3 linked regions of the Caenorhabditis elegans genome follow. The protein of the gene in region 2 interacts with the protein of the main gene of each other region in a pairwise test. Each region holds a gene or a part of one and is shown on either strand. Other genes may lie near its edges. The genes, in order: lec-5, rab-11.1 and rei-1.

Region 1 (3,898 bases), on a different chromosome or scaffold from region 2:
TCCAATTTTTCAACCAATTTACTTGTAATGAATCCATTCACAGCACTGACCAAAACACTACGGGTAGTTGTCTGAACCTTAAAATGTATATTCCTGATTTAAAGAAAGATATACATAATCTTCGATTTCTCCAACTTCTTTTATAATTATTGCTGCTTTTTCTTCACATGGATAATTTTCAAAGCCAGGGAATAATACTTCATCTACATTTTCAATTGTTCTATTATCCTGAGCGCTGATGAAAAACGACGAAAGGCGAGGTTTGCTGGGTTTGCATCTGCAAATCGAATTAGCTAAATTTTAGGTGCATTTGAAAATTCACAATTTTCGTTTTTTTCACAACATGAAAATATTATTTTCTCTATGAAAGCTCACTCCGATTTAAGTTGCTCAATGTTAAGTTGCTTCAGAGCTTCTGCTATTGCGAAGGCATCTTCCCCTTTCTGATGAAAAAAAATTAGCTTGCCCATTCAAAACACTTTAAAACTTACAAACTTATCAAATTTTGGATGCTTTTTTCTATATTTTGCTACCATCCCAGCTTTCAGCTTGCTCAGATCTTCCATGAAATATCTTTCAACTTTCCATGGACACACATGGGCATAGAAATCAACACACGGATCCACAGAGAAGTCAGCATGTCTGAAATTTGTTTTTAACTCAATAAAACTTTTAGATGTAATTCTCTATTACTTTTTAATATGCTCTTGAATGATATTCTTCGGTAGAGAGGCTTTTGATGTGCAAAAAAGAATAAAAACAGAAAATATGAAAAAGGGAAGAAGGGCCTTCATTTTAGGTGTCGAAACAAAAAATATGTGATGCACGGATACTTTTATAGTCGAAAATTCCCGCCTACAATAGCACAGTGAGGTGGCCGATTTCCCATATTGTTTGGAAAATTTCGAATAATTTGCATAACGTTTGTTTTATTGTCACTGAACATTTAAGGAAGCGAAAGAAGCTGAAGACAAATTCCAAAAATGAAAAGCAATAGTTTATTCAAACAAAACAAATTAAGGAATCAGAAACTCTCGAAAGGAAGCAAACCTTGTGCAAATGACAATGAGGAATCCACTCCGAAATAATGATTTTCCCATGTTGTACCTCGGAAATTTCGTTTTCAAACCATAATAAATCTCCGATTTGCCATTCATAGTTTCCAATACTTAAAAGCCATTTAAAAGTTCGATTTCAGACTAGTTTAGAAGTGAACAAAGGTTGGGCAAACTCTGAAAATATTTGGAAAATATAAAGCCTTATTCTCCCATTTCTTTGGATTTTTTTTGAACAGCAGGAACAGAAGGACCACCTGGAACGCGAACAGAGTGAAAACACTTTTACTGTATAGATGTTTGGTATTTTTGGTGAGATCTTCATAATGCTTCAAATAATGAACACATCACATTAAGGTTCTTCGACATTAGTACAATGTTTCAACATCCTCCAAGCTGTCCATGCGAACATCGTAAATCCATCAAACACCCCATGTGATGCTGCTCCCTTGGATACCTCTACACAATAAATATATTTTTCATTTTGAACTTTGAAATTTGTTGAGACTCTCATCTGCTTACTCATCCAGGAGACCAAAGTGTTTTTCACTATTTTAGTGTCCGTTTTCTGATCAAAGCTCAAACCTTCGCCCCCTCTGATATCTTCTCCGCATGGCCTCTGGTCGGAGCCTGAACATTCCAATGGAAAACAAGGAAAATGTGTTGGTGTAATATAATGAATCAATTGAAGAAAGGGGTGGAGATTCCCGAATCATCAACACATTTATCTTGCCAATTGTCCATGGCTCAAGAGTTTGAAGCAGCTTCTTCGAAAGTTTGCCATTTAGCTTCTATAGTGTCACGTAACATTCTCGCATGATTTTGAAGATGTTCTCTTTTAAAATTGTATTAAAAATCTTTCAATTTTATACTTGCAGAATGATAACAAGAACGATTGTCTGCTTATCTTTGGCAGCCTTGGTTTCATGCCAAGGAGATGCTTCTGATCCAAAGGAGACAAACTATAAGAAGTTCATCGGAGAACAAGAATACGTTAGTTATCTAGACACTGGCTAGAATCTGAAAATTATTGTTTCAAATTTTTAGAAGCTCCCATTCAAGACCCGTGTCAGTGAGCCACTTGCAGTTGGACAAACTATTCACGCCGTTGGAACTCTTTCTGAGAAGCCAACTCGTGTGGATTTTAACTTCCACAAAGGATCAGCTAAAGATGCTGATCTTCCACTTCATTTCTCTATTCGTTTTAATGAGGGTAAGTGTTTTAATGAGTAATTTCAAGATCCGGTATAGTATCGCAAAAAATTTGTACGACAGTACCCAAACTTGCAAGATCATGAATAAAGATAATGATAACCAATACTTACGCTTAAAAAGTAGCAATTCAAAAACAATTTCTATCATTAAAGAAACTGATGTCATAGTTGAATGTTTTCGTTTCCAGAACAACCGATCCATAAATTAAATTTAAAAAAATACTATAATATTTGAATTTCAAACAATAAATTTCAGGACTTCTCGGCAGCGGAAAGTTGATCTACAACACATTCGAAAACGGAAACTGGTCTGAAGATGAGCAGAGAATTAGCAATCCATTCAAAGCCGGACAAGAATTTGATTTGCGTGTTCGTATTCTTGAAGGAAAGTTCCAGGTCTTTGCTAACCGTCTTGAGGTTGGAGTCTTCACTCAACGACTTCCACTTGATGGAGTAAGTTTGATTTTAAAATTGTTTATCAAACAACTTCGAATTTAAGATTGATCACGTCTCAATCCGTGGAGATCTATCAAAACTTCGTCTTTTCCACTATGGAGGAAGAATCTTCCCTAACCCATATATGGCAGTTGCTGGTCTTACCCCAGGAAAGAGACTGGATATTTCTGCTCTTCCAAAAGGTACAAAAAATAAAATGTCCGTTTATTCACATGGAAAACTTTCAGGAAAGCGTGTCAATGTCAACTTGTACCGTGAAAACAAAGAGTATGCACTTCAAGTTTCCATCAGATACAATGAGGGAGCTGTTGTCAGAAACGCAATGACTAGCAATGTTTGGGGAAAAGAAGAGAGAGAAGGAAAAATGCCACTTGATAAGAAGCAAGTGTTCGATATCACCATCATCAACGAAGAGTACTCTTTCCAGATCTTCCTTAACAATGAAAGGTTTCAAATTCCTTAATTTTACTGATTTTAATCAATATTTTTGCAGATTCACCACATTCTCCCACCGTGGATCGCCAAGCGATATCAAGACTCTTGAAATTGATGGAGACGTTGAAATCCAGACTGTCACCATTAATGATGCTCCAGGAGTTTAAATTTTTGTTTTCTGAATATATTTTAAGTTTTTATATACTGTCCAGATCTAAATAAACATTCTAAGTTTCCTTATCCGTAGCAATGTTTTGTTGGCAGACTACAATAGCTCGATTTTCATGGAAAATGTTGCAGACTCTGTTTAGAATTAAAATTTCCTATTCAGAATTCGATGTATTCAACTTCAAATTGTCCGAATATAAAGGAATACTGCAAAACTTTTAAATACCAAACATTTTTAATCCAACTTTGAGGTTTTCCAAAAACATGCACTTTTGCGTCATGGTGTTTGCGTACACTCGATTTACGAAATGCATTTTACTTGACGCGCAGCATTTTTGTTTGTTGTTTTTTGCAAATTCCTCTTGCAATTAATTTTCTCGTCATGGGAGTAGACGATTTGCTTATTAAAAATGCTCAAAAAACTATTGATCGATTGATCCGGCAGTTAGCAGAAATAGAACAAGAAGAGTGAGTGAATTTTTTGTTTGTTTTTTACTTTCAAATGTTTCTTTGTTCAGGAATAATCTCGAAGAAGACGAATACAGGGAATTGCGTGAAGACACTGTAAAT
Region 2 (3,856 bases):
ACCGAGGCTCTGCTCGACGATGGTGTTGTCGGTGATTGGGACACGGTTTCCGTCAACCTTGGCGTATCCGCGCTTGTAGAGGAGATCGTGGATGGTCTTGTTGTTTGGATAACCCCAAGCTACGTATGGCTCGATGATACGGAGAAGTGGAAGAGTAGCCTTGTTCAGCTTGACGAACACTCCGTTGTTGATCTGACGAAGACGGAGGATCTGGAGAGCCTGAAAACAAAGAATGGTTATTAAAAAACTCATTAACACAATTTCACCTTTCTTGGCTTTGGATGAAGCTGGTTGATACCGCGAATTCTGACGACGAAGGCGACCTTGTGCTCAGCTGGAACGTAGAAGTCTCCCTTGGCCTCAGCCTCGCGCTTGAGTCTGAGTCCTTCCTTTTGGGCGTTTCTGTACTCCTGGACGTATTTCTCAGCACGCTTGAAGTATTGGGTCTTCTTCTCCTTGTTCTTCTGTAAAAAATTTTATTTTTAATGCAGGATTAGTTCAAATTAATTTTCAAACACCTAAAAGAAAATTTAAACTTTAAAATTTCGAATTGTCATCGTGTTATTGAGACGCATTCTGAATTGAATACACCTCACCCAAAAACAAGATAATTCTTATAGCTCAGTTTTGACGGCTGGCTTGGATAATAGTGGATCCTAAAACCAGTGCTTTTGAAGAGCATTTTCTGTTTTCTGACAGTTAAATAAACTTACAGCGGCGACGGTCACCTTGTGTTGAGCAGCCTTGGTGCGGGCATCGGCTCTCTGCTTTCTGCGCTTGAGCACAGTTTCTGGAACCTGTGGCACTTTCTTTCTGAAAAACCAAGAATTAATATCAAAATTGAAGTATTTGAAAGTCAGGCCTAAAAGTAAATTTCAATCTAATATAAATTTATAAAGAAAACTTACGTTGGAGCCATTATAGGCGATTGATTACCTGGAAAATCAAAATATTAATCAGAAAAGAAAATTATAAGATATTGAAACAGAGGAGCAAGTTTTCAAAACTAAATTATTTCAGTATTTTTCGAATGTTCAGCATTTTCTTCACGAAAACTATAAAAAACGCGTATCAGAATTACGGGAAATTAGTTCTAAAATTTATTCTGATGAAAATTTAAGAAAATCAATGAAAAATGCTCTGAAAAAACGGAAAAATTCGTTAGGCCAAAAAGAAAAAAATGTAAAATTGAGATTCCGTTGCGCCGCTGCGAAAGGGGTACGGTAGTTGTCGTGCCGAGACCCGAGGAGGCTTGCGCTGCGGCTAGCGTCGCGTACCCTCAGACCGACGTGGCTGCGCCGGTGCGCCTGACCTGTTTTACGTTCGATTTTATGGGTTTCACACGCATTTCGCGTTCGGAAAAGCTTATTCTGGATGTTCACAGCCATAAAACTAATTATTTTTTTCAATTTTTAGCTGAAATTATCAAAAAAGAACACCCAGAGAAAGCTTTCCCTTGTTAAAAATATCCTGTTCAACTATTTCGAAATCGTGTCGACAAACAAAGTTCGGCCGCTCACCTTCCCTTTTTCGGGTATGATAAGCCTCAAATACTCTTTCATAACACACTTCTATATACATTTTCACATTTTTCTTCTGACTAACCACCCTCATATATTGATAAAATTCAATATAAAACTCCCAACTCCATATACTTTGAATCATTCTTAAATCAAGTTCACTTATATTTTTTCAATCCCCGTCGAGATAGACAACCGGTTCCTGACTCCGCGTTTGTGTCGGGAACAGAACATAAAAATATTCTCCGCCGATAAAACAGTGTCTCGTTCTTTTAATATCGATTTTACAACAAAACATTGCGCCCGGCTGATGAATCATGTGACCAATGCCCTTTTTCTTTTTTACAATCGTCCCAATATATACACAACTTTCAAACAAGCTTTATCATTTTACAGCTCAGCAGTAAAGATGGGCTCTCGTGACGATGAATACGACTACTTGTTCAAGGGTAATTTTGTTTTTCATTTTTCAATTCCCAAACGAAAAATTGTTTCAGTTGTTCTGATTGGAGACTCAGGCGTCGGAAAGTCGAATCTCCTGTCTCGTTTCACAAGAAATGAGTTCAACTTGGAATCAAAATCAACAATCGGAGTCGAGTTTGCCACGAGAAGCATCTCGGTGAGGAACTTCATTAGAATACACTTATGATTCAAATTATTATTTTTGTAGGTAGAAGGCAAGACAGTGAAGGCTCAAATTTGGGATACTGCTGGACAGGAACGTTACCGTGCCATCACATCCGCTTACTATCGTGGGGCTGTCGGAGCTCTCCTAGTCTACGACATCGCTAAGCATGTGACGTACGAGAATGTTGAGCGATGGTTGAAGGAGCTTCGTGATCACGCCGATCAGAACATTGTGATTATGTTGGTCGGAAACAAGAGCGACTTGCGCCATTTGCGTGCAGTTCCAACAGACGAGGCCAAGATCTACGCCGAAAGAAATCAATTGTCGTTTATTGGTAAGTTAAACTAATCTATTGCGTTTATATATTTTTTTTTTTCAGAAACATCTGCCCTCGACAGCACCAACGTTGAAGCAGCTTTCACTAATATCCTGACGGAAATCTACAAATCAGTATCCAACAAGCATGTAGGAACTGACAGACAAGGATATGGCGGTGGCAGTGGTACAATCATTCCTTCGCCAGCGTCCGACCCACCAAAGAAGCAGTGTTGCATCCCATAAATCACATCGTGTTTTTTTTTTTCAGTCTAACGTGTGTATTTTTCGAAATGCCTTGTCCATTTAATTTACTGCCCCCGAAATCCAAATGATTCGCTCTTAACATCCGCGAGTTTTATCGAATTCTTGCAAGCACTGCGTTTGCAAGTCTTCACCGTTTTGGTGTGTAGTATTTGTAACTTTCTTTCAGATTTATTTGTAATTGCCTCCATCCCCACCCCTTCCCCCTCCCCCCCCTCCGAACCTATACATTCGTCCCTTTTTCTTCAGAAGATTGTGATCTGAGTTGAGTGGTGCTGCTTTCTTACCATTTATCCGACTCAAGATTGTATGCCAACTTCAGCGACGTATTTTGAATATTTTTTCTTCACCCTTATTCAATATTATTCTGGCCCACCCCCACCCAATGTGTATATTACCTAAACTATTTTGGTTATTCGTAATGTGTGTCTCTTGTAGAACTCGATACCGAGAAACCCTCGCCAAGAAAGCAACGAAGACATATGCACATTGTTTTTAATCGAGTTTTATTTATTTCGCAATTTTTTTCCAAATAGTCATTTTCCATGAATAAATAAATATATCTAATTGATCTCCTATTTTGTGAAACATTTTCACTAAACGCTTGTACCAAATCACGTCCAGTTTTTTTATTTTGAATTCAAAATGAAAATCCGCATTTTCGCGCCGAGACCACTACAGTAACCTAAGGCCTAAAAATGTGCATTTTTGCGTGTTATTCTATGCATTGTCCGTACAGCGTTTCCATTTGAATTTTTTGAAGTTTTCCGATAAAAAAAAAGAAAAACTCCAAAAAAAAATTTCCCATTGAAAAATGTCGAAAAAAGAGACGCAGAGAAAGCGCTGCAAGACCCCACATCTGTGTGTTTGTCCTTCCTCAATCCTCCGGCTCTCTCGTCGCCTCGCCGTCTCTTTCAAATTCTCCATCTCTCCTCCCGTCTCTCTTAGTTGTTCTGGTGTATGCTTGCGTGCGTGCGTTGCGGACTACAAATCAGGACTTTTTCAAATTTATTTTAATGCTTGTTTAATTTTTAATTTTCCACCCCGTTAATTATTCTTATTTTCAATTATTAAATTGCAGAAAAATGTCCGAGAATCCTGAAAATTCGGGAGAATTGGCAGAAAATCA
Region 3 (3,782 bases), on a different chromosome or scaffold from region 2:
ATAGAAAAGAGAAAATAGATCAGTATCTGTCTATTTCTCTAATTTTCTCACTTATTCTTCATCGGAAGAAGAAGAAGATGAAAAAGACAACGTCATCCACAACCTGTCGTCCCCCACACACCCCTACGACCACAAAAACTGTCCCCGTTTTTTCGACACCTCCCTGATGTTTTTCCCGCAAATCCTATTAAAGCTCACGCGCCTAGACTTCTTCAGATAGCACTCATAAAAGCTATTATTCGCTATTTGTCAAGTAAAATTGCCACATTGGCTCCTGTCACGAATGAAAATTTTCCGCTACCGTACCCTTTATTTTTTGTTGTAATTTTCAATTCTTTTGATATTCTTGATGTAAAAATTATATTTTTTATCGAAATCCCGTCAAATATGCTTGGAAAAAACGAAATTTCAAGAAAATCATCATCTACCGTACTCATGGGTACTGTAGCTGAAAAGTTTCACTCGCGTCGAGACCCGGAAGCATCATTTTGCTTTGAAATTTGCGCGTTTTTCCGATTTTCGATTCAATTATTAGATGAATTGAAAACTATCAGCGAAATCGTTTTATCATTTGACAAAACCTGAAAATTTTCTAAAAATGTTTTTTGTCAGACTGAAGAAAAATTATTTTTAGATTAAAGGATTAAAGGATTAAAGGACGATCGGTTCTTCAAGTGCTATGCACTGCGGATCTGGGATTCAGGTACACTGCCTGGTGGTGATCCTCTGGGCTGTAATTTTAAGCCACGTCCTAGCCGGGGACTGTGGCCGATAATCCAGTCGTGGATTGCTCCACTTCCCAATAGACATTCTCTTATTTTAAAAATAGAAATGTTGCAATTAATCGGAATTTTGCAGTTGAGGGGTATCGCCCCAAAAAAATTTTAAAAAAATATGTTTCAAAAAAGTACTTCTTGAGGACTGAGGCGACTCAACTCTTCCCCCACCTTCCACCAATTTTGCTCATATAACAGTCCACAATTGTGTGCCCCTCAATATATTTCCCCTTCGGTATAATTGGCCCATTTGCCCTCCACAATCTATTCACACTGTCCATCCCGACCGTCCGTCTCTGTTTCTCTCTTCTCCGTCGTCCCCCACACTTTTCCTACCCCCGCTTGTCGTTTGCACGGCCTTCAAACCCAAAAAACCGATGAAAACCGTATCTGAAATAGTTCTACTCTCCGTTTCCTCGTTTTCTTTGTTCTAGAATGGTTTCAAGTTCGAAATTCTCAAAAAATTATGAGGTTCGAATATTACCCAGACGCAAAATTTTGAGATTTTTGCCCTGAAAATACGGTACCTGGCCGCGAAAAGGCAATTTCTGAGATTTACAAACGGGGGTGCGCCTTTAAAGGATACTGTAATTTAAAGCTTTCGTTGCTCTCTGATCAGATTTTAATTGATTTTTCATAGTTGATCTCACAATTTATTAAATCGAATAATTTTGAATTTTATTATCTTAATTATTAATAAAGTAATATTATTTAATAAGTAAATTTATTTTCAACCAAAAACTATGAAAAATCAATGAATACTGAAATTACAGTACTCTTTAAAGGCGCACACCCATTTGTTTTCAACAAAAATGTCATGTCGAGGGCCATTTTTGCAGCTGATTTTTGCTATTAACCCTGAACAACTAAAATTGAGAAAATTGTCCAAATTTCATTCATTTTAGCCATTTTTGTAAGTCGAATTGATAATTTCTGAAAAACTCCCGCCATTAATTTCAAATTACGATCTGCAAACACCATCACGTAAAAATGCACAGTTTTGCCTCACGTTAAAATTTGCAAATTTAATTTTAAAAAATTTATTTTCTCATCTTTTCTCCTCATATTCTCTTCATTTCTAGTAATTTTCGTTCGAACAATTCGATTTCAGAATCAATAAAACATTAAAAATGACGGAAGGGGACGATCAATTAATATCGATTCGCAAACAACTTGAAAATTTAAATAATGCAACAGATGACATCAACAGTTATGAGATGAAGTTGGAAACTGTCAAGAAACAGTTTTGGTGAGTTTTAATTCATTTTTTATTTTAAAATAATTGCTTAATCGCTACACGTCTAAAACTGGAAACCTTTTATTGCACTAGTCATTCTTAACCAATTAATTCGCAAAAAATCGTACCAAATCTGGTTTTGATGCTAAAATAATCTTATATATTTTCAGTGAAACCCAACTAATGTTCAACAAAGAAATGCTTGGAATCCCTAAAAAGTTGGCCAAACACATATCAAAATCCCGTCAATTTTTCGATTTGAAAAGCCGCGAATCGGAAATCAGAAGATGTGTTCAACAAGCGGCAGCTCAATTTGAACGACAAAAAACTTCAGTTGAAATGGCAAGAGAACAAGTGCAAATACTGCATAATTCATTGAATAACAATCAAGAATTGGATGCAGAGAAACAATATGTTGATGTGATTGAGCAACAGTTGGAATTGGTTAAAGAAGCTGAGGGAGAATGTTTAAAAGCTGAAAAGTGTCATGCATCACGTGTCAGGGATTTGTTACAGTTGGAAATGGCTTTAAGGAAATGTTTAGAGGAAAATGGGTGAGTTTCAGGCATCAGGCAATTTTCTGACAATATATTTTCCGAATTTCAGATCTGCCATCAAAAAATCCCGGCCCTATTACGAACGAAAAGAAGTTCTGACGCGAACAATGAATTCTCAACTTGAGTTAATGTCAATTTTGGAGCATGAAGTAAGAACTAATAAGAATAAAACTGTATATAGATTAAAATAATTTTTAATTTCCAGGTACAAGAACGAAAAGACAGCTACAGTGATTCGATGCGAGCTTTAGAGCAGATCAGCGATCAAATTCATCAGGAGCGTTCCTCGCAAAGCAGTTTGGCTCCTTCGAGTGATGCAGAATCCGACAGCTCTTGATACTCTGAGCCACACCCTTTCTTCTCAATTTTCCACGTGTAATATTAGATTTTTCACGAAGTTTCGAAATCTCGATCTCACTTGTACTCACGTTCCACACCCAATCAACTTCACCAAAAATGTATTTTTACGGGTTTCAATCCCCTTTCTCTTTGCTCCTCATTTTCTCTATGTATCTCTTTATTTTGTGTTCGTCTGGTGCTTAATAACAATTTTCTTGAAACATTAAAAATTGTGATAATGAGAAGACGATGAAGTGCCCACAAAAGCATCTACGTGTGCACACGCTGCACTTCTTGTCGGAGCACTGGATTTATCAAGCAATCGTGAAGCCAATGTGCATAGCTCACAAAGAGTGGATGCCCTTGTCGCTGGTGGCAATCTGAGGGTGAAATAGATTGTTGAAAAATTGTAATTTTTTGAAATTTTGAGACGTTAAAAAAAATCGAAATTTCGTTGACTTGCAACTTGCGCGTCATATATAGTGTCAAGTACGCATACACCGCGACGGTAGAATGCACAAAATTGTCAATTTCAAAATTTTCATGATTTTTCTTTTATTTAACAATTCAATTTCTCACCTGCTAACCGAAGCGGGTCTTCTTTCTTCTGGAATAATTGGAATTTCTTCATCAGAATCCCATTTAAAATACTGAAAATTGTTCACACGCCGGCCAAGCTTTGGAATGCTCTAAAAATATTTGTGTCATATTATTGTTTCACTTAATTGAAGAGATTACAGGCATTTCTATATCATTCCGATTATTGCTCAATTCCCTAATAACCAACAATTCATGAGTTTCTCTACGAATTTCTTCATCTCTCTTCCTCTGTTCCTTCGCTTTTTCCTCTTCTTCAATACGACGTTTTACCTC

Evidence for each region.
Region 1: the proteins of rab-11.1 (region 2) and lec-5 interact in a two-hybrid assay, tested with the Caenorhabditis elegans proteins (one study listed by BioGRID).
Region 3: the proteins of rab-11.1 (region 2) and rei-1 interact in a two-hybrid assay, tested with the Caenorhabditis elegans proteins (one study listed by BioGRID).

What each region holds. Positions count from the first base shown.
Region 1 is NC_003280.10:5,839,139-5,843,036, reverse strand, and holds lec-5 (Galectin), read left to right. Parts: upstream 1-1,933; 5' UTR 1,934-1,934; coding exon 1,935-2,048; intron 2,049-2,102; coding exon 2,103-2,268; intron 2,269-2,525; coding exon 2,526-2,722; intron 2,723-2,768; coding exon 2,769-2,907; intron 2,908-2,952; coding exon 2,953-3,172; intron 3,173-3,218; coding exon 3,219-3,327; 3' UTR 3,328-3,398; downstream 3,399-3,898. Other genes in the region: nep-25 (Peptidase M13 C-terminal domain-containing protein), read right to left, coding at 1-71, 115-277, 376-443, 492-642, 694-794; ZK1248.19 (Beta-catenin-interacting ICAT domain-containing protein), read left to right, coding at 3,711-3,796, 3,847-3,898.
Region 2 is NC_003279.8:108,118-111,973, reverse strand, and holds rab-11.1 (Ras-related protein rab-11.1), read left to right. Parts: upstream 1-1,916; 5' UTR 1,917-1,929; coding exon 1,930-1,969; intron 1,970-2,017; coding exon 2,018-2,139; intron 2,140-2,190; coding exon 2,191-2,482; intron 2,483-2,527; coding exon 2,528-2,709; 3' UTR 2,710-3,300; downstream 3,301-3,856. Other genes in the region: rpl-7 (Large ribosomal subunit protein uL30), read right to left, coding at 3-219, 267-464, 714-813, 909-919; Y48G1C.8 (DUF7747 domain-containing protein), read left to right, coding at 3,813-3,856. UniProt on the Caenorhabditis elegans protein: The small GTPases Rab are key regulators of intracellular membrane trafficking, from the formation of transport vesicles to their fusion with membranes.
Region 3 is NC_003281.10:4,096,253-4,100,034, reverse strand, and holds rei-1 (Guanine nucleotide exchange factor rei-1), read left to right. Parts: upstream 1-1,844; 5' UTR 1,845-1,906; coding exon 1,907-2,025; intron 2,026-2,183; coding exon 2,184-2,567; intron 2,568-2,619; coding exon 2,620-2,719; intron 2,720-2,775; coding exon 2,776-2,907; 3' UTR 2,908-3,132; downstream 3,133-3,782. Other genes in the region: C03C10.7 (uncharacterized protein), read right to left, coding at 3,133-3,289, 3,489-3,598, 3,648-3,782. UniProt on the Caenorhabditis elegans protein: Guanine nucleotide exchange factor for Rab GTPase Rab-11.1. Spatially and temporally regulates the distribution of Rab-11.1 to target membranes during embryogenesis. Plays a role in cytokinesis, probably by targeting rab-11.1 to the cleavage furrows.